Oryctolagus cuniculus: one gene and its partners. The protein of the gene in region 4 interacts with the protein of the main gene of each other region in a biochemical or structural test. Links are inferred from orthologs where the notes say so. Each region holds a gene or a part of one and is shown on either strand. Other genes may lie near its edges.

The links.
Region 1: of the proteins of UBA1 (region 4) and UBE2R2, one has a biochemical effect on the other in vitro, tested with the Homo sapiens proteins (5 studies listed by BioGRID, with this or other methods). The link is inferred for Oryctolagus cuniculus from reciprocal best matches to the Homo sapiens genes UBA1 and UBE2R2.
Region 2: of the proteins of UBA1 (region 4) and UBE2D4, one has a biochemical effect on the other in vitro, tested with the Homo sapiens proteins (4 studies listed by BioGRID). The link is inferred for Oryctolagus cuniculus from reciprocal best matches to the Homo sapiens genes UBA1 and UBE2D4.
Region 3: of the proteins of UBA1 (region 4) and UBE2Z, one has a biochemical effect on the other in vitro, tested with the Homo sapiens proteins (3 studies listed by BioGRID). The link is inferred for Oryctolagus cuniculus from reciprocal best matches to the Homo sapiens genes UBA1 and UBE2Z.
Region 5: of the proteins of UBA1 (region 4) and UBE2E3, one has a biochemical effect on the other in vitro, tested with the Homo sapiens proteins (3 studies listed by BioGRID, with this or other methods). The link is inferred for Oryctolagus cuniculus from reciprocal best matches to the Homo sapiens genes UBA1 and UBE2E3.
Region 6: of the proteins of UBA1 (region 4) and UBE2L6, one has a biochemical effect on the other in vitro, tested with the Homo sapiens proteins (2 studies listed by BioGRID). The link is inferred for Oryctolagus cuniculus from reciprocal best matches to the Homo sapiens genes UBA1 and UBE2L6.
Region 7: of the proteins of UBA1 (region 4) and UBE2Q2, one has a biochemical effect on the other in vitro, tested with the Homo sapiens proteins (3 studies listed by BioGRID). The link is inferred for Oryctolagus cuniculus from reciprocal best matches to the Homo sapiens genes UBA1 and UBE2Q2.

The regions. Positions count from the first base shown.
Region 1 is NC_091432.1:196,852,942-196,857,299, forward strand, and holds the start of UBE2R2 (ubiquitin-conjugating enzyme E2 R2), read left to right. Parts: upstream 1-1,424; 5' UTR 1,425-2,000; coding exon 2,001-2,177; intron 2,178-4,358. UniProt on the Homo sapiens protein: E2 ubiquitin-conjugating enzyme that accepts ubiquitin from an E1 ubiquitin-activating protein, and catalyzes its covalent attachment to other proteins by an E3 ubiquitin-protein ligase complex.
Region 2 is NC_091447.1:51,544,609-51,548,251, reverse strand, and holds part of UBE2D4 (ubiquitin-conjugating enzyme E2 D4), read right to left. Parts: intron 2,721-3,643; coding exon 2,627-2,720; exon of another isoform or gene 2,318-2,626; intron 232-2,317; coding exon 186-231; 3' UTR 1-185. UniProt on the Homo sapiens protein: Accepts ubiquitin from the E1 complex and catalyzes its covalent attachment to other proteins. In vitro able to promote polyubiquitination using all 7 ubiquitin Lys residues, but may prefer 'Lys-11' and 'Lys-48'-linked polyubiquitination.
Region 3 is NC_091448.1:25,120,846-25,125,256, forward strand, and holds the start of UBE2Z (ubiquitin-conjugating enzyme E2 Z), read left to right. Parts: upstream 1-1,602; 5' UTR 1,603-1,709; coding exon 1,710-2,032; intron 2,033-4,031; coding exon 4,032-4,104; intron 4,105-4,411. UniProt on the Homo sapiens protein: Catalyzes the covalent attachment of ubiquitin to other proteins. Specific substrate for UBA6, not charged with ubiquitin by UBE1. May be involved in apoptosis regulation.
Region 4 is NC_091453.1:32,724,583-32,728,985, forward strand, and holds the start of UBA1 (ubiquitin-like modifier-activating enzyme 1), read left to right. Parts: upstream 1-1,479; 5' UTR 1,480-1,661; exon of another isoform or gene 1,662-3,081; intron 3,082-4,164; exon of another isoform or gene 4,165-4,403. UniProt on the Homo sapiens protein: Catalyzes the first step in ubiquitin conjugation to mark cellular proteins for degradation through the ubiquitin-proteasome system.
Region 5 is NC_091434.1:59,872,530-59,876,172, forward strand, and holds part of UBE2E3 (ubiquitin-conjugating enzyme E2 E3), read right to left. Parts: intron 3,386-3,643; coding exon 3,253-3,385; intron 1-3,252. UniProt on the Homo sapiens protein: Accepts ubiquitin from the E1 complex and catalyzes its covalent attachment to other proteins. In vitro catalyzes 'Lys-11'- and 'Lys-48'-, as well as 'Lys-63'-linked polyubiquitination.
Region 6 is NC_091432.1:14,577,944-14,581,528, forward strand, and holds the end of UBE2L6 (ubiquitin/ISG15-conjugating enzyme E2 L6), read left to right. Parts: coding exon 1-125; intron 126-1,877; coding exon 1,878-2,029; 3' UTR 2,030-3,012; downstream 3,013-3,585. UniProt on the Homo sapiens protein: Catalyzes the covalent attachment of ubiquitin or ISG15 to other proteins. Functions in the E6/E6-AP-induced ubiquitination of p53/TP53. Promotes ubiquitination and subsequent proteasomal degradation of FLT3.
Region 7 is NC_091443.1:106,476,438-106,480,798, forward strand, and holds the start of UBE2Q2 (ubiquitin-conjugating enzyme E2 Q2), read left to right. Parts: upstream 1-1,435; 5' UTR 1,436-1,639; coding exon 1,640-1,804; intron 1,805-1,963; exon of another isoform or gene 1,964-2,273; intron 2,274-2,279; exon of another isoform or gene 2,280-4,361.

The DNA of each region.
Region 1 (4,358 bases), on a different chromosome or scaffold from region 4:
AGTGGAGGATGACCCAAGTCCTTGGGCCCCTGCACCCGTGTGAGAGACCTGGAAGAAGCTCCTGGCTTCAAGTCAGCACAGCTCCAGCCGTTACGGCCAATTGGGGAGTGAACCAGCAGATGGAAGACCTCTCTCTCTCTACCTCTCCTACACTGTGTAACTCTTTCAAGAAAAATTAATCTTAAAAAAAAAAAAAAGTAGTCTGTTTCAAAAACGAAGAATGGCATCCAGAACACAGCTGTGCCTTTAAAGTTCTTCCTTTCAAGTTCTTGTTTATGGGCCATTTACCTTGAGTCAGTCACTATACTAAATAGTGTACATAATGATTCATTTAATCATTACAATTGCTTGTGTTAGGTGTAATTAACTCCCTTTTACAGAGGCTGATGAAGCAGGAAGAGAGAATATTAAAGTTAGGGTCAGAGCTGGAACCAAGGTCTTTCTGATCCCAAATTGTGTGGCACCCTCACGGGGTCCCAACTTCTCTAGGGAACAGTTTAGGCAGTAAGAGTCTCGCAAACCGTAAGGTATTCTAACATCATGGGGGCTGCCTCTCACTATGAAGTGACATGTCTCTTCAGTCCAGATTCTCTCAAAAGTCCCTCAATTCCAGACTGGACAAAAAGCTGAGGGCACTTAGAAGGGGTCAAAGTCCAACCACGGTATTATTATTTTTTTTTTTTACAAATGGGTGAGCTGAGGGCTGGCCAGAGCACTGGCCCCACATCACACGGAGAAGGGCCAGGAACCCAGTTTCGGTCCGTGTTATTTCTCTCATAACTTCCTCTTTGCAGTTAAGGGAAGTAGGGGCACGCCTATCGGCCTTCCCCCACCTCTCGAATGGGAAACTGCCTCTCCCCAAGGTGGTGACCTGGCCAAGAACACACTGGCATGAATGAGGGCTGGAATCGCCAAGACAGACGTCGTCAAGAGGCCTGTTCTCACCGATAAGGCCCAAATCCTCGGTGCTTCCTAATCAAGGGCCTGGTTAACAGGAGGGACTGCGAGGGGGCAGAGATGAGCCTACAGAGGACCCGGGCTCCGCTACCCCGGCCTTCGGGGTCGAGCCCTGAGGGCCCCAGAACGTGAGCCCTCTTCCGGGACACGCCTTTGGATCCGCAGCGTCGCGGTGCACAACAGTCACGTCGGGCCCAGGGGATCCGCCGCGGCCCGCCCTCGGCCCTCACTGCCGCTCGGGCCTTTAAGGGCGGAGGACACACGCCGGCGTCACAAAGCGCCGCCACCGCGCGGGCCAGCCGGGAGGAGGCGGGGAAGCGGGAGAGGAGGAGGAGGAGGAGGAGGAGGAGGAGGGCGAGGCGGGCGGGGGAGGGAGGGGCGCGCGCACGCGCGTCGGGCCGCCAGCCGCCGAGAGCCGCCCCCCTCCCGGCGCGCGCCCCTCCTCCCTCTCTCCCTCCCTCCTTCTCGGCTCCGTCGCTCCCGCGGCGCGCGGCGCTCTCGCTCTTCGCCTCCTCCTCCGCCCCTCCCCCCGCGCAGCCGCCGCCGCCGCCGCCGCAGCCGCGAGACCCCCGCGCGCCGCGCTCCCCCCGCCCCCTCTGGCCCCGCGCGCCCTCCGGCCCCGGCGGCCCCCGAGGAGAACGAGAGGGCGAGCGAGCGCGGCGCTCCCGGGCCGTCGCGGCCCCCTCCCCTTACCATCGCCGGCCCTCCGCCACCTTCCTCGGCTTCCACCTTCTCTCCCCCCCCCCAAGTTGAGGCCCCCTCCGGGGGGGGGAGGCCCGGCACCGGGAGCGAATTCCCCGAACTCCCTCTGCCCCTGCCCCCACCCGGCCGGAGTGAGGAGAAGGGCCCGGCCCGGCCCGCGTCGTGTGTGAGGAGGATCCCGGGCGGGCCCGCGGGCCGACTGGGGCCTGGTCCGGCCCGCCGGCGGTGTGAAGACAGGGGCCCGGGGCGGCCCGGCTCGAGGGCGAGCGCAGGGGAGGGGCCTGGTCCGGCCCGGCCGGTGCGTGAGGACTGGGGCCCCGGCCCGCACGGCCGCCGCCGCGATGGCCCAGCAGCAGATGACCAGCTCGCAGAAGGCCCTGATGCTGGAGCTCAAATCCCTGCAGGAGGAACCGGTGGAGGGCTTCCGGATCACCCTGGTGGATGAGTCCGACCTCTACAACTGGGAGGTGGCCATCTTCGGACCCCCCAACACCCTCTACGAAGGCGGCTACTTCAAGGTACTCCCATCCCCCGACCTGGCCGCGCGGGCCGCGGCCTCGGCTCCCCACCGCCCTCGGCTGTTTTCGGGGGCCAGGAGAGTGGGCACGGCTGAGTGAGGGGGCTCCTCGCCTCGACACCCCCTCCCCCATCCGTGGAGGCTGGAAGGCCTTGCTCACCCAGTGCCTTTTCTTTGTCATGGGGGCGGGTGCGGGAGGCCAGACTGCACCGGGAGAGAGGGAAGCCTCTCGGACTAGGGTCGTGGCTCCGGGAGGAGGAGGAGGCCTGTCTTTGTTTGCTCCCCAGCCGAGGGGGTGATGGCAGGAGAGGGGGGCTGCCTTCCCCTCCCGTCCTCCCATCACAACCCTCCCTGGCGCAGCTGGAACTGCCCCAGAGGGCAGGGTGACCTGCACCTACTGGATTGGACTTTTCTTTTTTGGGGGGTGGGGGTGGGGGAGGGGCACTAGCCTGTCATTCCAGAGGCTGCCAGTGCCCTGACATTTTGAGCGTTTGTTGGGCTGTGGTGGTTGCAACTTTGCGTTCCAGTGGCGATATTGAAGAATGGGACCCTAGGGGTGGTTAAAAAGAAAGAAAAAAAGACGGAGGGGGGGGTGCCTGCGGGATTTTTTTTGGGGGGGGGCCATTATCCACTTGAGGGAACTTTAATTTAGCCCTCTTTCTGTTCTCGTTCTCTATTTACCTCGGTCAATGGTTCTTTCAAAAATGCCCTTTGTCCTCACCCAGGCTCCCCTGCCCCCCGTGTAGAAATATCCACAGAAGGTGCAACATGTCTTGTAGGGCGACTGGTCTTTTCCCACTTTGGGGAGACAAAAATTGAAACCTTTTGCTCAGGTGGCTGGTTAACTAGCAAATGGGGTTGTCGCCCAGATGAAAAGTATCATGAGAGATGAGGCGATTTCACTGGGTGGGATGGCTCCTTAGCGACCAGAGACATTGTTTCTATTGTTTTCCATGATTTTAGGACAGTGGTTATTATTCCGGAATCTCGTGATTTTGTTTTTTTCTTTTGACCCCCAAGGCAGATATAACTTGAGTTTTTGCTTTTGTTTTTACGTTAGCATTTTTAAAGACAAGAATCACAGATTGAAGATTTCATTGTTATAAATGGTGGGGGCAGATACAGAGGAAATAGTGTTTAGGAATGCATTTAATATTTTTATTTCCACACACAAAAAAATAGGCCATTGAGTCAATTTTAGTTTGTTTTGAAGGGAGGGGTTATCTTGGCACAAGTTTTAAATGAGTATCTTAGTCATGTAGTTGTGATGTGTATTTTTAGGACTACCCAATTACTTAACTCTTGTTTTCTATGCTTCTAAAGGTGGAAGCCTCAATTTCAGACTTGAAATTAGGTCAACTTTGTAGAAAATAGGATTGATATGGAAATGTTTAATATTCACAGCTGTGATAGTCACTGAAAAGCACATGTTGAGAATATTATGAAGCCAAACCGATGGCTTTGGTTTTTTTTTTTTTTCCCCGTGGGCCACAAACAGTATACTTTTCAGATGTAGATTTTTAAAATTGCTGAGAAAAGGTGCAAGTTACTAGTGGCGAATTGGAAACGATATTGCTTGTCTATGTTGTCAAATATAAGTTTTTGTTTACAGATACTGGAAAAATTAGTTTCACAGGGTGGAATTTATATGAAAACTTTTCTAGTAAAGTATTAGCAAAATCTGGCTAGTGGTAGTGGAGTAAAGTTTAATTTCCAAAAAGTAATTTTTTGGGCCTGGTAAGTGGGTACTTGTTAGACTGGCCTTACTCCCAGGCAGTTTGTTAAAGATTGCAAATGAAAGATCATGTACTGCAAACTATAATACTTTTGCATCAGTAACTGGGGAAGGAGTGTGGAAAATCCTCTCCATTTGGAATAGGTAGTGTGGAAAGATTCTTTGTCGTTTACACTCATTAAAACCAAATGCTTTTTAATTTCAGTCCTGTTTAAAAAGAATGCTTTAATGTCTGTTTTGTTATGCTAGATTTCTTAATTTTTGAATGTTTTTACTTTTAATTCTCAAAAAAATATGAAAATTCTTAAACAGGTTTTATGTTTTGATCATGGTGAGTTTATTCACTTAGATTCTACTTTTTCCTTCATTGAATGGCCTTTTATCCCATTAGTCATTTGTTGGAAAAAGGCAAATTATGGTCATGAACACTAAACATTATTTACCTGC
Region 2 (3,643 bases), on a different chromosome or scaffold from region 4:
ACACTGTCAAAACCATCACAATGGCTGACCGCGCCCCGACACACTGCAGCAGGACCCGGCGGGTGACCAGCGTTTGAAGAACACATGACGCGCTCCGTGGCCCAGCCCACAGCACAGTCTCACGAGAGACCCCTCTGGCCAGCTTCTCCTGGGCAGTATCTCCCACAAGACCTTGTCCAAGACACTTACAGAGCGTATTTCTGTGTCCACTCTCTTGCTAGTCTGTTGTACCTGGAAGAAAAAGCAGAGGGAGTGACACCCCACTTGGAACGGTCACCTCCTCTCAGCGTGGGGCGGAGAGCAGGAGTGTGCGGGGGGCGCTGGGTTAAGCAGCCAGGGCTGCGGGCAGGCAGCTGCCTCTGAGTCCTGGTGGTTCTCGGAAGAGACTGGCTATGGAAGATCGCCTAAGGCAGCAGAGCGCCGCCCATGCTCTCCGCTGTCACAGTGTGCGCGCAGGGAGAAGAGGGGGAGACATTCACAGCCCCTCCGGGAAGAGCTCCAGGCAGCCACTCCACAAGCCCACAGCACAGGCGTGGGCGGCTGGGGCGGGGCCGCCTCTGCGCCCTGGCCTCCCTGGACGTCTGCCCGGGGTGGTAGCGGGGAAGACTAGGCGAGTGCGCGCGCGAGACCTGCGCGGCAGGCCTGGCACCAGGGAGCACCGTGCGTCATTACTGCTGTGAGATCTGTGCAGACTCCGGTTAGAGAACAAGGGAAGTCACTTGATGGGGGCCAGCACTGTGGTTCACGGGGTAGAGCTGCCGCCTGCAGTGCCAGCATTCCCCGTGGGCGCTGGTTCGTGTCCTGCTGCTCCACTTCCAGTCCAGCTCCCTGCTGATGGCCTGCTGATGGTGCACGTGTCTGGGCCCCTGCCACCCACACGGGGGACCTGGCTGGAGCTCCTGGTCCTGGCTTCGGGCTGGCTCGGCCCTAGCTGTTGTAGCCATTTGGGAGTGAGCCACGGATGAAGCATCTCTCTCTGGATGTCCCTCTCTCTAATTCTTTCAAATAAATAAATAAATCTTAAAAAAAAAAAAAGAAGAAGAATATGCCCCTTGGGTCACCCACATCCCACACTGGCGTGTCTGGGTTCAAGTCCTGTCTCAGCGTCCCGCCACGTGTACTGTGGGAGGCAGCAAATGATGGCTCAAACGCCCGGGGCCCTGCCACCCACGTGGCTGCTGGCTTTGGCCTGGCCCAGCCCCTGCTGTTGTGAATGAAGGAGCGAGATGTTTCCATCTGCTTCTGTCTCTCTGTAATTCTGCCTTTCAAATAAATATTTTAAAAAGTCCTAATGTTAAATAAGTTAATTAAGTTACATGTTAAATAAGTACAATTTAAAATCTAGTCATTGAAAATTATTTTATCAGGAAACTTCAGTGGAAATCAGATCTATAAAGGTCTCAAACATACAAGTTGGAAAAACGACATTCTCATCTCTTCAGACAGAAGAGGAGTGATGAACTAAAAGCTCACTGAAAATACTCTTAAAATTTACCTATTCATTTGAAAGGCAGAGTTGCAGAGGGAGAGAAGAGGTCTTCCATCCACTGGTTCACTCTCCAAATGGCCACAACGACTGGGGCTGGGCCAGGTGGAAGCCAGGGCTGGGGGTTTCTTCCAGGTCTCCCACGGGGGTGGGATTTGGGCCACCCTCCATTGCTTTCCTAGGCCATTAATGGGGGCTGGATCAGAAAGGAGCTTCGGGACTGAACCAGCGCCCACATGGGAGCTGCAGTCGCAGGCAGTTTTACCGGCTACGCCACACCAGCCCCGGGAGAGAAACATTTTATTCACTGGTTCATTCCCCAAATGTTCGCGAAGCCAGAGCTGGGCCAGCCCACAGCCAGGAGCCCAGCCCTCCACTCAGGTCCCCCACTGTGGTGACGGTGGCCCTTCACTGGAGCCCCCGTCTCCTGCCTCCAGAGTGCACCAGCAGGAAGCTGGACCGGCAGGGCCGATGGGACTCAACCAGCACTGTGCAGCACCCAGCACCCTTCCCCAGCGACACACTGGCAGGGCCCCCAGCCACACTGCCCTTCCTCACTGCCGTCGGCACTCAGATGAACGCCGACCCCCGGCCTGCTCCGCCCACCACAGCTGCCCCATTCCGCAGCACACGTGGCTGTGGCTGTGGCTGTGGCTGTGGCTGTGGCTGTGCCTGGCCGAGGGCGCTGCACTTCTACAGTTCCACGCGTGGCCGTCAGTGTTAAACACAGCAGGCGGTCTCAGGGTCCGTGAAACAGAGCACAACACTCGGCTCGCAGCCGGCCAGCTGGCCACGGCAGTGTCTCCCGCCTGCCCTGCCGCTCGGCCTCACCTGGTGTGTCCGAGCAGCCCCCCGCTGTCTTACGCTAGACTTCAGCATTTACTCCAGGTTTTCTTCTGCGTGCACTCTCGGCTGGCCACTGACCGCCGGCCCTGAGACCAGAGCTCGGCAACGGGCTACCGTGTAGAAGCGGCAGCGGATGCGCTGTGCAGGAGGTGAGGAGCCGGCTGCTCGTCTCCTCCCTTGGAGCCAGAGGATGTGTTAGTGAGAGCCAGGAGCCCACGCCCCGGGAGCCGCAGCGTGGCGCCCGGTGCTGCCCGGGGCAGCGGCAGCACAAAGGCAACCCGAGAGGACGCGTACTTCTCTCTGTCGGCCTTGTAGGTGTGGGCTATCTCCGGCACCAGTGGGTCATCGGGATTGGGGTCGCAGAGCAAGGAGCAGATGGACAAGAGAACTGGGGAGAGAAGAAAGGGTCCGTCAGCTGCAGGTGCGCCTGGGTCTGGGAGGCCCCGGGCCGGCTGCGCGGGTGACGGGTGGCTGCCGGGGCTTCAGCAGCCCCACTGGACGACTCTGCGGGGCACCCAGGGCCCGTGACAGAAGGCACTTTGCCCACACGGAGGGCAGCTGTCACGTCCCAGTGTCCCAGCACACTGCTCCGGGGGGCTCCCCCCTCGTGCCGCCGGTCCTCACCCCCCTTCCCAATGGCGCCCTCCTGGTCCCAGCCCAATGCTCCCACTCTTGTCTGCCCCACACCACACCCCCTGGCATCTGGTCCCAGCCACGCTGCGCCTGAGAAGGAAACAGGGGGTCAGAGCAAGGGGAAGCTGCCTTGGAACGCCTGGGCGGCCCCTCCCCGGCACCCTGCTCCCAGGCTGCACCGGCAGCAGCTGCTCAGCGGGCTTGGGGACTGCTTCACAAGGGTGAGCCCTGTGGACACCGCCCGCCCCCGCAGGGACCTGCTGTGTCCCGCAGTCCCACGGCTGCCGCCTCAACCGCCTTCCGACGCCGCCCTCGTCGGCTGCCCGAGGCTGCAGCGCTGCACGCCCCCTCCACCTGCCGCTTGTTTCTTGGGGCGACTTCTTCCGCGGGACGGACGGTGCTGTCTGCATTCGGGGCTCGCCCCACTCAGCCCTGGCTGCTCTGGTTTCTCTGCTGACGTGGAGGCCCTGGGCCAGGCCTTGGACCTCTTCCCTCAGACTGGATTTCTCAGAGAGGTGAACCGAAGGCCAGGTGACATCTGGCTTTCTTATTTTTAGACAGGAAGTCCAAGTAGAATCAATTCTGCCTACACCAGGCCACACTGGGAGCCCCTCATGGCACCGACTGCTAGAACTGCTGGGTGGGCCCGGCGTGTGGGCACGGGGGTGGCTGGCACTG
Region 3 (4,411 bases), on a different chromosome or scaffold from region 4:
TCTATAGCCCCAAGGGTGTGTGGGTGTGTGTGTGTGTGTTACAGGGGGCAGGGTGGGGCACAGGTACGACAGGAACTTCCTTAGCATGAGGTAAAACAAAGGAAGTGTGGTTCCAGTGGTGTCAGTGTCACACAGCGGTTGGCTGCTTTACAGCCTCAGCTCCGCCCACCATGACCCTGTGTGGGTGTCAGAACAATTTCTGATAATGGTTCTTACTTCATGGGTTGTTGAAAGGATATAAAGTACAGGCTGGCACTGTGGCCTGGTGGATCAGGCCTCCACCTGCGGCACCAGCATCCCATAGGGACGCTGATTCCTGTCCAGGCTGCTCCACTTCTGATCCAGCTCTCTGCTGTGGCCTGGGAAAGCAGTAGAAGATGGCCCAAGTCCTTGGGCCCCTGTTCCCCGGGTGGGAGACCCGGAAGAAGCTCCTGGCTCCTGATGGGCTCAATTCCAGCCATTGCGGCCATTTGGCGAGTGAACGAACGAATGGAACACCTCTTTCTCTCACACACAAATAAGCAAATCTTTAAAAAATAATAATAATAAAGTACCAGGATATAGAAGCACTCAAGAAACGTCAGGGAAGTAACTTTTTAGCTGTTTCATCCTCATTCAGGGCCACGGTCCACTACTGGAAATCCAGACCTCTGGAACCCAAACGCCTGTTTTAAAACACACCTCTGGCAGCAAGTATAATCCAAAGTGACGCTCCCCTCCTTGGCATCAATGTTCGTAACGTGCCCAAATTAGTAGGGCTATTCATACACTTTTCTGAAGAAACATCACTATGTTTGGTTGCTGGCGGCTACCCGTGCCCTGGCTCTCCAATCGGAAACGCGTCTGGCCCTACTGCTTTCTGGGTGATGGTCATCAGCCTGTAATTTTTGCTAGGGAGAAGCAAAGTTTTTCTTGGAAGGCCTCTGTTTTTCTTAGTCCTTAGGATTACTTTTCACTTGAAAGATCTCAGAAAAGTCCTAAGGAATCCTCTTAGGATTTATACGCATTCCCTGGGTTCTTGTATGTTTAAGGATTTGCGGGCAGGAAAAGTCGGGAGGCCTGCTCTTTCTTCCTTCGAGTTCTTGCTCGATCCCCAGGGCAGCGCCTGGCCCTCGGCGGGGCCTTCAGACCAACGCTCAAACAAGAGAGGCCGCTTCTCGCGTGCAGTCCCGACTCCTTCCTCTTTCTGGGCGCATGACGGTGCCGGGCGCCAGGCTCGGCCACGGAGCCTCGCGCCCGCGAAGGGCCCGCAGGCGGTCACCTCTTCCGCGGCGAGCCCTACGTCCAGTCCCGTCCCAGACGCACGTCTCCGCCACCCTCTCGGTAAACAAGGAGTTTAAGCCCACTCCGCCGCTTCTTTAAACTTTCTTTCCCCGTTTCAGCATCTGAAAATAACATTTTCCACGCAGTCGGGCTCTCCGTCGCTCCCGCACGGAGAACGGCCACCGCGGGCCCAGAACCCTCGGCTCGGCCCGCTAGTGCCCCCCCCAACCCGCCCCCGCCCGGCCCTGGAGGACCGTGGGTGGACGCTCTTGCAGAGCGCCTCTCGCTGGTCGGGGCGGGGGTGGGCGGAGCCAGCGCCGCCCGGGCTGTGGAAGCGGAGGGTGGGGACACTCTGGCCCGGCTCTCGGTGGTGCGAGAGCGGGCGGGAGCAGCGGCCGCTCTGGTCGGCGGACGTGCTGCCGAGCAGTCCCGGAAGCGAAGCAGCGATGGCGGAGAGTCCGACTGAAGAGGCGGCGACGGCGACGGCAGGCGCCGGGGCGGCGGGCCCCGGGGCGAGCGGCGTCGCTGGCGTTGTTGGCGTTAGCGGCGGCGGCGGCGGGTTCGGGCCGCCTTTCCTGCCGGATGTGTGGGCGGCGGCGGCGGCGGCGGGCGGGGCCGGGGGGCCGGGGAGCGGCCTGGCTCCGCTGCCGGGGCTCCCGCCCTCGGCCGCTGCCCACGGGGCCGCGCTGCTTAGCCACTGGGACCCCACGCTCAGCTCTGACTGGGACGGCGAGCGAACCGCGCCGCAGTGTCTACTCCGGATCAAGCGGTGAGCTGGGGTGTTTCCTCCTCCAGCCCCGAGCTCCGGGGCGCGACCTTCCCCGCCCCCCACCCCTTCCCACTACAACTCACCCCCAGCCCGCTGCGCTTGCCTCGAGGCGGCCAGGCTCCAAAGCCCAAGTCTTGCCCGCAGGGAGCGTCGGGGTCCAAGTCTCTTCTCCTCCGGCCCCCCAAGCACCTATCCCCTCCTCGTGTGCCCAGGTCGGACCCCGCCCCTCGGCAGCCTCCCCCGAGCCCCGCATCTCGGAGCCGGACACCCTCCCCCACCCCCACCCCACCCCCTGCCTCCCGCCCGAAACCCGACCCTTTGGCGCTTCAGTGACACCCCCTCCCGCTTCCCCACCCCGGCCCGACTAGATGCTGCCCACAGGCCCCACCCCTGGGTCCCTCTTGTGCGCTCGGGAGCCCAGTTTCTAACACATAACCTAGCTGGCTTTACCGTGCCTTAGATTCCAGCCATTCCTTCCCTTTATCTCTGCATCTCCAGCCGCCTCCTAGTTAGTACTTTCCCAGGTCTAGGTGGGTTCCCTGGCTCACCCAGATCTTCCCTCGAACCCCTTTTCCAGTCTCACACCTGCTCAGGACACTCAGGCACGCCTCCCCCGCCCACCCCCGGGTCTCTCTGGATTGTAAGATCCCACTCAGGACCTTCTTTCTTACGGGTTTTCCTCACCCACACACCTGGATTGTTTGATTTACTTTTCTCAAGCAAATATATTCAGCTTAATTACAGGAACAAAGGCCTAAGTCCTTTCTGTGCTTATTTCTTGGGTGACTGATTTGAGATAATATCACTTCATAGATAAAATGTTTCGCAGAAGTGCATAGCCTGGTACCCATCACATAAGGAAGAGAGTAGTACTGTGTAGCTGCCGTGAATCCTGAAATCTGTTTCCAGATGACCAGACTGCTGCCCACACTCCCGTCACGATCCTCCTCCTCCTCCTCTTCCTCCTCCTCCTCCTCTTCCTCCTCCTCCTCCAGGTGCAGCCCCAGGTTCCGAGTTCCTTCATCTGTCTCTCTACTTGCTTTTCAAGGTTGTGATAGAAGTTCAGCAGGACAGTGTGCGTAAAGCACCTGGCACAGTGCCTGACACAGGATACCAACTCTCTGGGCTTTGCTGCCCCCAACTTAAACTTGAACCTCAACTCTTGTATACTCCCTTGCTCCTGTCAGTCTTCTGATCCTGACATACTGTTGAGTTCGGCCTAAGACTTCCTTCCTTGCTCTGCCACCGTTTGTACTTTTTACACTCCTGCCTCCCCTAGCAGGTCCCTGGCCTTTTCCCTACCTGGAATGTCCTTTAGCCCCCTGCTCTCAGCTAGCCCAATCCAGTTGGTGAGCCGTGACCCTGACATCCTCTCATCTGCAGTAATCACATGTTCCTCTAGATAGGAGAGGGTGAGCGGTTTCAGAGGGTCCCCCTCCCCCCACCCAGAGAAGCTGCCGCTCTGTTAGTCCCCTGAGCTGGAAGACCGCCGTGATGGGGTTGCTCCTCGCCAGCTCACTTGTTTCATGTCATCTTCTGCACATGAGAGGTTGCATGGGTTATGGAATTCGGTTTTTTAGTGGAGTTGATTGTGCCTTCAGAGTTTCTTTAAAAAATCCTCGTGTGGTGTCTGCCGTAGTACCTGGGAACCTCGGAGGTGGGAAGTGGGTGAGTCGCCATGTGGGAGGAAGTGAGAGTAAATGGGATGTGGCTTTTCCAGGGTGACATCTGATAACATTGGGATCTCTGATATTTTTTTTTCTTTCCTTTCCCTGCCCTCCCCCTGATGAAACAATGTCCCTTTGATGATAATTTGCTCTCTGCCTGCCTGATAAGTACTCAGCTGAGGATCTCAGCCAACAAGACAGTGCAAACATTTGTGGTACCAAGCGCCACTTTCTCAAACCCTGGCCTCACTGAGGCGATAACAATTGTCCCGCTCAAGGGATTCCCCTTCCCCTCCCCTCACTCTTTCCCCGCCTCCTCTTGGTGTTACCAGGGATATCATGTCCATTTATAAGGAGCCTCCTCCGGGAATGTTCGTCGTACCCGATACTGTTGACATGACCAAGGTATGTAACTTGATGGGGAGCCAGGGGGCTTCGGGAAATTGGCCCATAAAGTTGGAAGAGTATAAAAGATTATTCAGCTCGCCTCTCTGATTAGGCAGGTGAAGAAGTGGAGACCCTAGGGGAGTGAGTGGCTCAGCCAGGGTCACACAGTGAAGTGGAGCAGAGCCTTCAGCAGGTGTCTGTTACAGTGCTGATAGGTAGTGAGTGGCTGGAAAAATCCCAGCCGATGCGCGTTGTTCAGCTTAGCTGTTAGGACGCTTTCTGAGTGTCGGAGTGCGCCAGGCTGGGTGAAGTTACCTGGTCACCT
Region 4 (4,403 bases):
CCAGAATTCAATCCCTCCTTAACTACTTTCATCACCTTGATCTGAACCTCCATCATCACTTCCTGGAATCTTGCAGGAGCCTTTCTGCTGGGTTTCTGGCATCCACTTTTCCCCCTAAACTCCATTCTCCAGGCGCTCCCATATAACATGTGGGCATACCAACCCCAGGTTCAGCCAGATGTCCCTGCTTAGATAGAAAAATCCTACCATTGCATTACAATTACTCATCATGATACAATTCAGCACAGGAACACGTGATAGGTATATTGTGGGCACTGTGCGGCTACATCCCATATCCAAGTGCTGGTTTGCAGCCAGGCTGCTTGGCTTCTGATCCAGCTCCCTGCTGATGCGCCTGGGAAGGCAGCAGCTGATGGCCCACGTGCTTGGGTCTCCACCCAAGTGGGAGACCCGGATGGAGTCCCAGGGGCAGGCGTTTGGAGAATGAACCAGGTGGATCACTCCTTGTGTCTCTGCCTCTCTCTCAATTATTCTGCCTTTCAAATACATATATACATACATAATGTTAAAAATGACGGATCCCCATTGTTAAGTGATGCACAACTATATACAACTTTATATACTCATACAATAAACACATTTCGATATTTAGTGACATTTATTATACACAAATATGTAAATTATTCACCATCAACAGTACCTATCGGTAGCTTTGGGATCTGCAAGGAGGAAGGCCTATACTTCCGGGAATGGAGAAGTCCCTGCCTGTACCTGCGGGGAAGAAAAGTCCTTGTCAAGGTCCCTGCGGGTGCCTAAAGGTCAACCAATGAGGATCAGACCCGCCTCAACCTTTAACCCGTATGCCCTGAATCTATAAAAGGAGCTCTCCCAATCTCTGACGTGCGACTTCCCCGCCCCCCGCTCTGTTGCTCTGTTGGGGCCTTGGAACCTCGCCCGGGTGCGTCTGCCTGGGAAGATTTGTTACGCGCTGGACACCTTGCACCTATCATGTTATATAGGATGTAGTCGTTATATGTATGCTTTATCACATATAATTTATGTCATATAGCCATAGATATCATTATAATATACTTAAATGTGGGACCATAATTTTTACTTATTTGATACGTTTATAGTCTATCTCTCACGCTGGAATGTCCGCTGCATAACGGCAAGGAAGACGAGCCAGCACCTGGCCCACAGCCATAAATGTCACATGAACAAACTTCGTTGGTCACCTAAGCCTCAACCTTTCCATCTGCAGGATGGGTGTGTCTTTCCATCTGGGGGCACCTCTACGTTCCATTCCCTCTTCCCATCGCCTCAGAGCAGGGATCCAGGAATTCCACAGCCCAGGCTTAAATTTTCTCATAGTCGGGGCGCTGATGCCCACCACGTGCACCAAGCACTAGCCAGAGGGGACTACCAACCCCAGCATGCCTCGCGCACTGGGGCTGTACCACAAGCTGTAGGGGTATCTGGAACTGAAACTTGAGCCGGCGGCACGGGAGCACGCGCGCTCGCCCCTCTAGCAATGCGTCGGTGGTACATCCCAGGCCCGGGGCCCTCTAAGGCCCCGCGCTTCCGAGCTCCGCGCAAACTCTGGCTCTCTAGTACACCGGAGGTGGTTTTCTCTTCCGTTGCCCCGTGGCTTCGGCTCATCTCCAGCAGGAAGGCGAGGCTTCCGCCCGGCGTAGGGGGTGAGCTGGAGCACCATGCCCCCAAGCCCCTGGACAGCATTTGGAGAAGGGTGCTCCCCTAAACCCCAACTTCGGGGGTCCCCTAATGGGTGTATTTGGAGCCTCTGGGCCCGGGATGGTATTTAGAGGTGTCTGCTTCTGAGGAGACCCTTCCGAGATGGCGTTTGGGAACTCTGGGGCGGGATTAGGGAGTCTGTTTTGGAAGTACCCCCTCGGACGCTGGTTTACGCAGGTAGAGGCTGGGGGGAGGTGTTTGGGTCCGTGCATGGGTGCCCTATCTGTGGGCAGCATACGGGCTCTTCCGCAAGGGGAGAGTGGAAGTTTGAGGTTACTTAAGTCAAGGCGGGATTTGGGCAGGGTTTGCTTGTTTCGGGACGGGTTCAGGACCAACGTGGCATTGTGGGGGTGTCTGTGGTCTTTGTGACTTCTGGGTCTCTGTTGAAGTCCTTGAGCTTGGCTCCTCGGGACGGTGAGCCTGGACACACCAGGGGCCCAGACCCCGGGAGAGGACCCCCTCCAGCTCAGGCTGGGAAAGGAACTGTCTGCCAGGCTTCTCCTGAGCGGACGTAATGCCACCGGGCCTTCTTTGGCTGCGGCTTCATTCATTATTCATGAGGAGGAGGGGCTGTGGTGGGAAGCTGATTGCCTTCTTCGCACCTGGTGTCCCCTGGAGGTCTGGGCTGTGAATTGTTCACGAAGCGGCGGATCAGGGTGCCGAAAGGGAGTGCTGAAAGGGTGTTCTGATTTTGCCGCCCAAGCTAGAGTTTACTGATCATTCACAGAGGTGAGTAAGTAGCGCCCGGAGTTTTCTGTGGCTTTTCTAGGGGTATTGTGCATAATTCACAAGGGGCGTGGCTTCCACCCGCCTCTTCTGCCTGTTCCGTGGTTAGCTTTCCCTTATAGGTTCCAGGGTTTAAGCCTTGCCTCTAGCGAAGGGATGAGGCTTCGTGCACTGGACATTTTTTATGGGGCAGCCATCGCATATTACCAGCGGAGGCTCTGAATTCAAATCAGTCCTTGCCAGTGGTGTGATGTTTGGCAAATCTTTCTGTGAACCTAAAAAAGGTATGAGGATAATGATTCGCTTCCACTCATTTAGCTACTTTATTAGCCTAGTTAATCTTCACAACAATCCTAGGAGGTAGGTTATTATTAGCCCACTTCATAGATGAGAAAACTGGGGCACAGTGATACTAATTTGTCTTAATGTTACACGGGCAGTGAGTGGCTAAGCCACAATTCAAACCCGAGGAGAAGTCTACGTCTAACGTCCGTAGTCTTGGCAACGCAGCGTCATAATGCGTCCCCCGCCCTATATAAGAGCGCTCCTCCTAATGCTAGTCCTATACCACTTAACTATGTGTCAAGCACCGTTTTGAGTCCTTTCTACACATTAACTGATTTAAACATCCATCTCAAGGTAAGTTACCGCTGTAATTCCCATCTTATAGATAAACAATAGCCCAAGTTGAGAATTTCTCTACTGGCTGGGTGTATATACTTACACATAACTAATTTTATGCTAACAGGAATAAATATTTGCCTCTTAGCTTTATATTAATATATCTATATTTTAAAACGCAACAGTGCCTCAAGCCAGCACTGTTCTAAGGTTCGTTCTGTAATTCACGGTCGCTGCTTTCCGTAATAGCTCATTTTATCTCTATGAGGTGCATGCGTTCTGCTACTGTCCCCATCTTAAGACTCTGGAAACTGAGGCACCTGCCAAAGACCTGTGAGTCTGGATTTGGTTGGACTAAGGCAGCCCTGGTTCCTGAGCAGTTAGTCGGGGAGTGTTGAGGCTACACTCCCCCTGGGTTTTCCCTGTGGCTCTGTGGTGTCTTCTATTGCTCGCGAACGGGAAGGCGTGGCCATGTTGCCCTGACTATAGTATCTTAATCCCTATTTGCTGGTTGGCGCTGTCTCGAGTGTTTCTGTCCGCCTAGTCTCATGCATAATTCATGAAGTGGGTGGGACCTTTCTTGACCTCTCAGTCTCCAGGTTGAGCTGCTGCAGTAGCAGTATTCATTATTCAGGAGCAGAGGGAGTAGGTGCTCCCTGCGGTAGCCCAATTTAGATGCAGCAATAGGCGGGCCCGCCCCTTTTGTTCCAGCCCACTGGGCCTCATGCATTATTCATGATTAAGCTGTAGCTTTGGTCTCCTTGGCTTCCGGGCTGCTGCAAGATCATTCATTATTCATGAGCAGTGGGGGTGTGACTTCCATGTTGTAACGTCGGCTTTCTGGCTTCTGGGTGTTAGTCTACCATCTACTCGGCTGCAGTTACGACTTGTGATCAGAAAGCATGGCCTTGAGGGCCTTTCTTGGTTTCTGTTGCAGCGTGGTGGCAGCAATTCAGTCCTTCGCGTTCCATGGGGCGTGGCCTCTGTTTTACCTGTTTTCCTAGTTATTGCTGCCGTAGCCACCAGGTGGAGCCGTTCCTCTTCTAAACGAATGAGTAACAACCTGCCAGGGAAGATTATACATGATTCATGAACGGGCGCGGCGTTCTTGCATCCGGGTTTCTGGGGGTGGGACCCAAGGTTTTGTTCCGGCCCTGGGCTTCGTGGCCGCCATCTTGTGTCGGCGGGTGAGGTGAAGGAGGTAGCAGGGACGACCACAACCACAACGGCCGGGGGAGGAGGCAGCGGCGGCGGCGGCGATTCTAGGCGGCCCAGGCGGTGGGGAGAAGGAGGAGGGTGGCGGCCGGGCTTGGCTTCGGCTCCTTGAGGAGTTGGCGGCG
Region 5 (3,643 bases), on a different chromosome or scaffold from region 4:
GACAATTTCTGACCTTTAGGAAGTTAACACTGAACTGTGAGCTCTGAAATGGAATCTGAAAGAAAATACTAAAATTTCTCAGACGTATCTTTCTGAAAAGGGGGCAGTAGTTGAAAGGTGAGGACGGAAAGACAGGAATAGCTTACTGGTTCAGTGTGGGAAGAGGCGGAGCCTCTAGAACTGCTCTGTCCAATACAAAACCAACTAACTACATATGTGTGAATACACAACTTTTGAACTGGGGCTACCCAAAGCATCAAAGTATAAAATCAGATTTCAAAAACTTGGTGGCAAAAAGATGATGTAAAAGGCATCAGAAATAATACTGTACTTATGTGAAAATGACAGTGTTTTGGTACTTGGCTAACCAAAACAAATTATTATTAATTTTAGGGGTACTTGTTTGACCTAGCAGTAAAAATACCACTGAAGAAACCTGCATCCAGTATTTAAGTGCCTGGTTTAGTGTCCTGGCTCCATTTTAGGTTCTAGCTTTCTGATGTCGTGTACCCTGGAAGGCAGTAGGGGGCGGCTGATGTGGGTGGGTCCCTGCCATCCGCAGGGGACATTGAGTTCCCAGGTCCTAACTTCAGCTTGGCCCACACCTAGTTGTGAGCATTTGGGAGAGGGAGCCAACATATGGGAACTTGTTCTCTTATCTCTCAAAGTAAGTAAATAAAAATATAAGTTTATGGTCTCTTTTTCCATTTTTAACTGTGCCTACCTGAACATTTAAACTTCTATCTATAGTCTCTATTATAATTCTATTAGTGCTGCTCTATAAAATGAGGAATAATGTATATTCAGGTTATTGACACTCAATAGAGACACAGTGGTTTACAAATAAAATTAATATTTTGAAAATGTTCAGCTCTTAATAACTAGAGAACAAAAATACTATTCATGAACAGAAGAGAATTACATATTTATCATTCAACAAGTTCAACTTTTAACTTCAAAAAACAGGAACTAAACAGAAATAATTGTTCCAACAAGTTAATAGCAGAAACTTCGTTTGTTTCAAATGTCCAACATTTTTTTAGAACTTAGTGATGCCTAATTCTACATAAGTTATCTTAGCAAGAGGAGTAAACAGAAATTAAAGAATTAGAAAATTAAATTATAATTTCAAAAATTAATAAGCTGAATTTGAAAAGAACTGCATTAATCAAAATGATAAATCACACACAGAACAACTGTTTGAAACCCATGTTAGTCAACCCATTTTCCATTAAGTTGATAGGACAAATGTTAACAGTGTTATAATTCTGTATAAAATAAATCTTGCTTTTTTCCCCTAGTTTTGCTAACATGTTTAAAGCAATTCTAATATGGAACACTAGGCAGAGTTATCACTACTTATAAATACAGTTATAAGGTATTTCTAAAATTTCATTTGTTTTCCTGTAATACAGAGTACTTTTAGCATTATACTAACATTTAAAGGTGTTAATCAAATTAGGGTTTCGCCCTTTTAATTGATTCAGCAAGATGGATTCTATAGACCTGGAAACAGTAAAAAATATATTAACTTCAAGATCTTAGATTCTTTTTTTTTTTTTTGACAGGCAGAGTGGACAGTGAGAGAGAGACAGAGAGAGAGAAAGGTCTTCCTTTGCCGCTGGTTCACCCTCCAATGGCCGCCGCTGCAGCCGGCGCACTGCGCTGATCCTGGCAGGAGCCAGGAGCCAGGTGCTTTTCCTGGTCTCCCATGGGGTGCAGGGCCCAAGCACCTGGGCCATCCTCCACTGCACTCCCTGGCCATAGCAGAGAGCTGGCCTGGAAGAGGGGCAACCGGGACAGAATCCGGCGCCCCAACCGGGACTAGAACCCGGTTTGCCGGCGCCGCAAGGTGGAGGATTAGCCTATTGAGCCACGGCGCCGGCTGAGATCTTAGATTCTGATGGAACACATAGAAAAACACTCCAAAAATAATCTGGTAACTGTAACTGACAGTAAATATTTGTAGGGGATCCAGACCTTGGCATCTGCAACTTGAGGTAAATACCACTAGGTGGCACTGTTGTTACCTTATTATATAATGCTTTCCTGAGACAGAATCTTTCTTAAATCTTTACGTAATATTTATTATATATATTACACACACATGCATCAAGTTGCTACATAAATTGTAATTTTAAAAGATTTTATTTATTTGGAAGACAGAGACACACACACATAGGCAGAGTGATTTTCAATCTGCTAGTTCACTCCCTAAATATCCACAATAGCTGGGGCTTGCCCAATCTTATCCCAGGAGTCTGGAAATCAATCCAGATCTCCAACACGGGTAGCAGGGACCCAAGTACTTGGGCCATCATCTTCTGTTTCTGAGGGTGTACATTAGCAAGAAAGTTGAAAGTGGAGCTGAGACAAACCCAGCCACTCCAAAATGCGATGTGGGCGTACCACGCAGCATCTTTACAACTGTGTCAAATGCTTCCCCCTCTACATAAACCTTAAATAGTATAGGGCATAAGAGGAATAATGTAGCAGCTAAGGGCTATAGGCTTGCTAACACACTTTTCCCCCTGGCATGTTGAACGTCTCTGGAATAAAAGTACAATTGTGTTCTGATTTCGTTCTGGCATTTTTTTTTTTTTTTATATAGCTTGACAGGTAAAAGGAAGGAAGCCATTCACATGAGTGTCTTGTTTAAGTTTTGTAAACTAATTATGTTACGTTTAAGTCTGGTAAACTGACAGTTATGACAAGGCACAACTTAATGCTTCTCTTTGTTAGCCATGTAATTCATATTTCAAGTGAATGAAGCACTAACAGGCAGAAACCACCCCCGGTCATCCTCCACTTCCAGTACAAGGTCATACCCACGCAGCCACATTACTAGTTTCCTGTGTATCTGTTGTAGTTTCCCAGGTTTTTGCTTATCTATGAAGGATTTCGCATAAAACTCACACTAAACTCTCATTTCTGCAAACTGTCAGTTTTTTGTCCCAGTATGTTTCTTAGAGAAGGTTCACCGAATATTTTCCCTCAGAAGTTCAAAATGTATCTGCCTCACTGATATGCAAAGTATAGTTTTATTTACAATTAACAATTCACCTTCCTTCTGTTGATCACAAAATTATTTGTAAGACTCAATTACTTTCAGTTTTAAAATTCTTTCATGTGAGATTCCACATAAATTCATGAAAAATAATGAAATAAAATGCAACCAGAATACAAGCAAGTCCTAGAATTAATGATTTCAGAGAAGAATGAATATTAAAGAATATACTTATATGTTCTTACCTTTGGTGGTTTAAATGGATAATCTGATGAAAATGTGATATCCAGAAAAAACACACCACCTTCATATACAGAACCTGGTGGACCAAGTATAGTTGATCTCCACTCATAAATGTTATCTCCTTTAGGCCCAGCACTATTTAAAAGAAATTAAAAATCAATATATACATCTGCAAATATACATGCTAACATCTTAAAACCAGTAAAGTATTAAAGGTAAATTGGTAAGAGCAACAAAGAATGAGATTAAGTATTAAAAAAAAAAAAAGCAATAAGCCCTAATGTGCTCAGGCATATGTATAAAAACCTATTTTAAAATATCTCAAACTTACAGAAAAATTACAACAAAAGTACAAAGAACACTTTACCCACAATCTCCTTCTGTTAGCGTGAG
Region 6 (3,585 bases), on a different chromosome or scaffold from region 4:
ACTCAAGCCTCCCGCGGTGACGTTCACCACCAAGATCTACCACCCCAATGTGGATGAAAACGGGCAGGTCTGCCTGCCCATCATCAGCAAAGAGAACTGGAAGCCTTACACCAAGGCCTACCAAGGTGGGGCTGGGCCTTACCCCTGAGGGCGACACTGTTACTGGGTGGAGGAAGTTAGTGGACTTATTTTGAGTTAGACAAGCCTGAAAGAGAGGAGATAAAATGTGAGTCTCCGTGGAACCTACCGTTAGAGAGAAGGGGTGCCTCCTGAGATCCTGGATGCTCCTGGGCAGGTGTGACAGAGGAACTTGACCATGGACATGGGAAAGAGAGGCAGCGTGAATGCAGGGGGCAGGGCTTGGGACTAAGAAGGCCTGCTGCCCCATGTGTGGACTTAGGGCAAGACTCTATTCCTCTGTGGGACTCAGCACCCTAAGTGACAGTTGACAGTGGAGGGGATTGTCCTAACTGTGACAGTATTCATCCCTTAACTAAGCGCTGTCAGTGCACTGTGCAAAGAGCACTGTGAGCCTGCCCGCATCACCCCCAGGAGGTAGTGCTGTCATTAGCCCCATGTAATAGAGCCAGAGGCACATGAGTGGTGAAGCCGCTGCCTAAGGTCCTGTGGCTTGCAGATGGCAGAGCTTGGCTGACTCTAGAGCAGTGTTGTCCAGCTGAACTTGGTGCGGCCATGGAAATTTCCACAGCCCCACTGTCTGGTACCATCATCCCGGGCCTCATGTGGCTGTGCAACCAAGAAACAGAATTCTTCATGATGTTTTTTGTTGTTGTTTTTGTTTTTGTTTGTTTTAGGAAAGCTGTGGCCCATATAGGGGGCAAGATATTTTTTTAAAGGTTTATTTATTTTTATTTGAAAGTCAGAGTTACACAGAGTGAGGAGAGGCAGAGAGAGGGAGAGAGAGAGGTCTTCCATCCGATGGTCTACTCCCCAGTTGGCCGCAATGGCTGGAGCTGTGCTGATCTGAAGCCAGGAGCCAGGAGCTTCTTCCGGGTCTCCTCTGCAGGTGCAGGGGCTCAAAGACTTGGGCCGTCTTCTACTGTTTTCCCAGGCCATAGCAGAGAGCTGGATTGGAAGTGGAGCAGCCAGGTCTTGAACTGGTGCCCATATGGGATGCCAGCGCTTCAGGCCAGGGCGTTAACCTGCTGAGCCACAGCTCCCACCTTGTTCATGTTGTTTAATTTTAGTTAATTTAGAAAACTACATGGAGCTCCACATTGAACAATGGAGCTCCAGAACCCATGGGCTTCCTCTGGGTGCTGTCGTGTGTCTGGTCCAGCTCGGGAATTCTTAACCTGGGAAACAAGACTCTTGGCGTGGTGGTGGTGGGGCTGGGATGTGGGAGAGGTCCTAGGATGAGCCTCAGGGCTCTGTGGTGACGCACTGTTCACTCAGAGCTGTGTTTATGTGCGTACACATGTGTACTTGGGCTTCCACCTGCACGGGGCTCCCAAGGGCATCTGGAAAAGATTAAGTGCCATAGCAATAGGTTTTCCATCTTCAGCCTTAGAACCTTTTTTTCCCAGATAAATTTATTTGGAATCCCAGAATAACAACAGAAAACCAGGATGGGTCTTGTCGAAATGGGGCTGAAACCCCAAAATCTCTCTTATCTCAGTGACCCCAGAATGTGTAACTTTTCTGAAGCCATAGGACATAGCTGTTTGTAAAACACTGATCTCACCCGGCAAAGCTTTGGGCATCGTCCACCAGGAAGGGGAGGCAGTCTAAGAGATGGACTGTCCTTGGGGGTCCCCCTGAGCAGTGAGTGGGGGGATCCGGGGAGTGGACAGCCAGTGCCTCTATCCAGGGTTTTTCCCTCTGCCCTGATGTCCCGCTCTGGCCTCTCTCCACAGTCTTGGAGGCCCTCTACAATTTGGTGAATAGACCGGATCTGGCGGAGCCCGTGCGGGTAGAGCTGGCTGACCTGCTGACCCAGAACCCGGAGCTGTTCCAGAGGAAGGCAGAAGAGTTCACCCTCCAGTTCGGAGTGGACCGGCCCTCCTAAATTGGGTTTTGACCCCATCTGCGTGGGATCCTCTGCATGGTGGACCAATATACCTCACGGACTGGGGCTGGAGCCCCTGGATGAACCACTCCCCACTCAGTTTTTCCTTCTTAGGTTGCTAGCCATGAGTTTGTGTATGTGTGTGTGGCAGGAGGGAGGCTGTGGATGTGTGTGTGGTGTGAGGCCTCGCTGCCCCCAGGTTCACCTGGCCACAGGTGTGCCCTGCCCACTCCCTGAGCCTTCCCCACAGCCAAGGGGGTTTAAGTTTGCAGAGTGAACAGGTTAAATCTCCAGGGAGAGAGAGACAGGTCACATTCTAAGTCAGCCTGCTGGAAACCAGGATCCCTCCAGGGTCCAGGGCCCCAGGGAGCAGGGAGTATGGATGGGAAGCCGGGCTCGTGGAGGGCACTGTATTTCATATTTCAGTGGAGTGGTTGAAACCAGCCAAGCTACTGAGCGCCATGCACCGATTTAGGTGCTAAACCATTCATTTTCCATTTTCCACTGTTGAATCCTAAAACGAGGAGTCTGACCTCCATCCGGGGAGTCTGACTGTGTATTTTGACATTTCCTGCTATCCTGCCAGGTGGCCAGTTCCTGGGGACGGTAAGGCTGTGGCCAGCACCCGGTCCAGCAGAATCTACAGAGCCCAGTGCTTGCCTGGCCAGTGACGTCACAGATGGGGCAGGCAGTTGGCCTAGTGGTCAAGACCCTGGTTGGGATGGCCACGTCCCATACTGGAGTGCCTGGGCTTGAATCCCAGCTCTGCTCTCGACTCCAGCTTCCTGTTCGTGGGCACTGTGGGAGGCAGTGGGGGAAGGCTCAAGTGATTGGATCTCTGCCACCCTCCTGGGGGACCTGGATTGAGTTCCCAGTTCCTGATTCCCCACCCTTAACCCCCGCCCAGTGTCGGAGATTGAACCAGTGGATGGGAGTGCTCTCTCTCTCTCTCTAACAGAAATTAAACTTTAAATAGAAATGTTTTCTATGTCACAGGTGAATTCTGGGGTTGTGTCTCCAGTGAGGGGTGGGGTGGTTTCATCCATACCAGAGAGGGGGCTGCCCCGGCTGCTGCTGCCCCACAAACCCGTCGCCCTGCTTCCCGGACGCTGACCCCCAGCAGAGGTCCTCCGGAGTCCAGGGGCTGGGGGGCGGCCGTGTGGCACCGCGTTTGAGTCACTGCTGGGGACGTCTGTGTTCAAGTCCCAGGTGTTCTGCTTCTGATCCACTCAGCTTCCTGAATTGCCGGCATTTGGGAAGTGAACCCCCGGCCGGAACATCGCTCTCCATCTGTCTCGTGGTGTCTTGCTGTCTCTGCCTTTCACATGACACGAAAGTAAATAGGTTTTGTGAAAAGGTTCCCAGGGGTATCCACCGTTTTAGAGATGAGGCAGCCAAGGCACGGAGCGGCCCTTCGGTGGATCCCTTGGGTCCGTATTGCCAGTTAGGATGGACTCCACGCCTCCTGCAGCCACGCATCCTGGCTGGGGTTTTTGCTGTGTTTTTTTTTTTTGTTTGTTTGTTTTTCGTGATCTGCTTTCATCAGCACTCACACC
Region 7 (4,361 bases), on a different chromosome or scaffold from region 4:
AAGTTCTAAAGGAGCCACTTCCCTCTGTCTCAAATCCTTGTCTGTGGCTGCTGTGTCTGGTAGGGTCCCAGGAGCCCGGGGGGACTGGAGGAAAAATGAAGTGGCAGCAATGCCAATGTGGAAGCCAGTTCTTTCTCGCTCAGAACCCAGGACTTGAATCTCCTCCTTTTCCCTGTCCCAGTGACCCTTAGTGCTTCCAGCCAGAGCCGTAGGTACACAATGTTACATGCAGAGGCGGTTTCCTGGGAAGGTGGGTCACAGGTTTTATCAGCTTCTCAAAGAGACCTGCGACCCTCCGATGGCTAGGAAGCGCTACAACAGGTTATAATGCCTCCGAAATAAAAGGTAAAATAGTCCTCGGTCAGGGGACTTCATTTCTTGTAGACCATAAACAGGAGGCGTGCCGGGCCTCTGGTTGAAACAATTACGAATTTCAAGATGGTGACAGTAGCAAGTTAACCAGGCAGGGAGCCCCGTGTGACTACACAGGTGTTACCCTAACAGCCTGCCCAACTTCATTTCGGGGCTACCTTGCGTGTGCCAGGGACTGGGTTCGACGCTGAGGATTCCAGATTAAGGGTGGGCTTCCCAAACTACCTAACGGGTCCTGGGGAGACAACTCTTAATAAGAAGACAGTCCCACTGGGCGGAGAGCGAACTAAGAGGAAGAAGGTATCAAAATAACGACAGGTGCCGAGCAGAAGAGCTAGCATAGGGCGTGACACAGGGGGGCTGAGAGGCCACTTCACAGGTCAGGTGGTCAGGGGGGCGCTCCCTGACATCCAAGACCTTTCATGAAAACAGGGGCCTACGTGGGAAGCCGCGAGGGCTAGCTCAAGTCCGGCAAAGAGGCCAAAGGCGGGAAGAGGGAGAGACGGTACTCAGGTGGGGCAGGGAGCCCAGGAGTGGCCGGCAGGGGCCAAGCCGTCCTGGCTGCACGGATGCCCGGATCGCAAAGGAGGGTCCCCGCCTGGAGAAGCGGCGGCCGGACTGGGGCGTGGGCCGCGGGGGTGCCCCGGCCCGCTGTCAGGTGCACCGGCGGCCGCCCCCAGAGGCCGGCGCGCGTCCGCGGCGGCGCCGACGTGGCCGGCGGGAGCGGCCGCGCACGTGTCTGGCCCCAGGCCTGGGGGCGGGGGCGCGCGCGGGGGGTCTCCGGCCTCTCCTCGGGTTCGGGGCCCGGGAGCCGGCTGGCCCCCAGCCTCCCGTCCGCCGGCGCGAGGAGCCGAGCAGATGGGACGGGCCGGGGTGGGGGCTGGGTCGTGGCGAGGAGGGGGCGGGCGGGCGGGCGCGCGCACCGGCCACGTGCACGCGCGGGGCGGGGAGGGGAACGAGGGCGGGGTGGGGGGCGCCCTTTTCCAGGCGGTGGCGGGGGCGGCGTCGCCGCTGCCCTTTTAAGCCGCGGGGCCGCCGCCTCCTGCCGGTGGTGGAGTCGGTTACAAAGGGAGCGGCCGCCCGCCGAGGCCTCGGCGCCCCCCTCGCCATTTTCCTGCCGCGCTCGGACGCGGGTGTCGCGGCGGCGGGGAGAGGCGGAGCCGCGAGAGCACGGCCCGGGCCGGCCCCGCGGGGCGGTCGCGGCCGTGACGGCGGCTCGGGGCCCGGCTCCCCTTCCGCAACCCCTCCCGCCGGAGATGAGGGGAAGATGTCCGTGTCAGGGCTGAAGGCCGAGCTGAAGTTCCTGGCGTCCATCTTCGACAAGAACCACGAGCGGTTCCGCATCGTCAGCTGGAAGCTGGACGAGCTGCACTGCCAGTTCCTGGTGCCGCCGCCGGCGCCGCCGCTGCTCACGCTGCACTGCAACATCACGGTGAGGCGGCCGCGCGGGGCCGGCGAGGGCGAGGGCGGCCACGGGCGCCCCAGACCTCGCACAAAGGCCGCCGGCTCCCGGGCGCGGGGCGCGGGGCGCGGCCGGGCGCGCGGCGCTGCCCTGAGGCTCTTGGCCCCTCGCGGCCCCCGTCGCCGCGCCCGCCCGAGTCCTCGCCGGGCGCCATGGCCGCCTGCCTGCCTGCTTGCCTGCCTGCCGTTGGCGTCGGCTCGGCTCCGGCCGCGCGTTTGAGCCCAGACGGGGAAAAGGGGAAAGAAAGAAAAAAAAAAAAGGCCTTGAAGTTTTTAACCGGAGCATTCCGGGGCCGGATTTCCGGCTGTGTGTGTAAGTTTGTGCGTGGAGGACGGGGTCGCGAGAGGGGCTCGGAGCGGCGGCAGGTGGTGGGCCGGCCGGGCCTGGCCGCTGCGCCGCCGAGGCGCTGACCGGAAGGACCCCCGACGCCGAGGAGCCGGTAAATCTCCTCCCCGGGGGTGCGGCGGCCGAGCCGGGGGGGACCCGGGCTGGACGCCCCGGGGTGGTGTCGGGTCCCCTCTCGGCGCTGCCCGTGGGGAAGTGGCCGGGAGTGGGCGGGCGGCCTCGCAGGTGGGGTGATGGGGCTGGCGGTGGTCGGGCGGCGGTTCTAGAAGAGAAATAAACAGGTACACCTGGGCGGGGGGCGGCTCTGGTTCGCGGCGCCTCGGGCCGCGCTGGGAGCTGGGCTTCCAGCACCGGGCAGGGCAGCCCCCAGCCTTGTGGGGAGAAGAGGGGCAGCCACGGTGCGTGGGTGGAGGTGTGTGGGGGTGTCCGGGGAAGCCCCGGGGCCGCTCAGGTGCGCCTGGGCGAGGAGCGCTCCGGCTGGCCGTGGTGGCTTTGGGCGCGTCCCGGAGCTGCACACCCCACCCCACCCCCCAATAAAAGGACTCCAGAGCTCGGGCAAGTGTGGGTCGCTTGGGAGTGGACAGTGTGTGCCCCCCGGTGTAGGCTGTGCAAGGCCAAGTTGTCTAAACAGGGGAAGCCGGAAGTAGTCGTGCGGGTGAAGTGGGTGCTAACCCGGGGAGACTGCTCTGGCCAGGCAGGGCTGGTTCCACGGCCAGGACGGCCGCCGAGTGACTCAGGCCAGCTGGACAAGCAGTGGCTGGCACTAGGAGGGCTGTGTGTGTGTGGGGGGGGGGGGGTGGGGCGGTGCCGCTGTGCCGGTCCGCAGCGCCAGGGGTACCGGGATGGGGCGGTGTGCCACAACAGAGCCCTCCCACCTCGGCTGAGAACCGGGTGGGGGGCTGATGGTCCTGAAAGTCCGCCACAGGCCAAGGCAGTGAGCGATGACCCGGATTCAGTAGCGGCAAGGAGTGCAGTAGACACTCAGTGGAAGATGCGCTGGGGGGGACCGGGGTGGTGGTCCGGCTAGCTGGGGACTGTTAGCATTGAGGTGCAGGTGAGTTGGGAGGGGGTTGTCATGGTGCATGCCCAGTGTGTGCTGACCCTTCATCATGGGAGGGCGTCAGACACAGGGAACTGAAAGTGAAGAGAAACTCGAGGGGCCGGCTCCAACAAGGGTGCATTTCTGGCCAATCTTAATGTCGTCTGTACCCCACTTCGGATTCTTCTGGAGCAGATTCCAGACATACCACTTCCTGTTCAAGTAATTTCAGTATTTATTTCTAAAAAAAAAAAGACTCTTTGAAGATGAGTGACTATTTTGATAAAATCTGTGTGGTTTGTTCATGTTAAACTATTTGCTTAGAATGGAAAGAGCAAGGAAAAAAATGCATCTGGATTTCACATACCAGGATCTGTCCGTGGGGTTTGTGATTTGTTATTTTCTAAAAAAATTATTATTATTAAAGCATTTGATGTGTTTAACTTTTGCTCCTCAGGCGGCCTAGCTGTTGATTAAGCTCATCTGCCTGTCAGGCCTTGTCTTCTCCACGCTTACCAAGAAGTGTTCCTGTGCAGTTTTCGTGATGTTTGAGCAGATACGATCACACCAGTAGCTTTCTTTTTCCCAGAAGACTTATTTGTTCATTTACTTGTTTATTTGAAAGGCAGAGTGTGAGAAAGGGACAGAGGAGGAGGAGGGAGGGGGGAGAGAGGAGGCGGTGGGGAAGAGAGCTTCCTTCCATCCATTGGTTCCCTCCCCAAATGGCCGCAACAGCCGAGTCTGGGCCAGACCAAAGCCGGGAGCCAGGTGCTTCATCCAGGCCTTTGCCAGGCGCATTAGCAGGAAAGAGGGTTGGGAGCCGAGCAGTGCAGACTGGACTGGCGCCCTGATGTGGGACGTGGGCATCCCGGGTGGCAGCTTGGTCCGCTGTGCCGCAGTGCCTGCCCCAGTGGGGTCTTCATGCACACGCGTGCCTGTGTGCGCCTTTTTCTTTCAGGCTTCTGTCTGATCTGGTTTTCCCTTTGAAACATGCCCGTGACAGCTGCCCCTTACTGTACCTGGGTCTGTCTGCCAGGTCTGATTGTCCCTCAGGGCTCTTCTGGGTCATACTCCGTTCAAGCTGATACTTCCCCTCCCTCCCTTTAGGCCTTACGGTTTCTGCTGTGATTATGTTTTCTTATA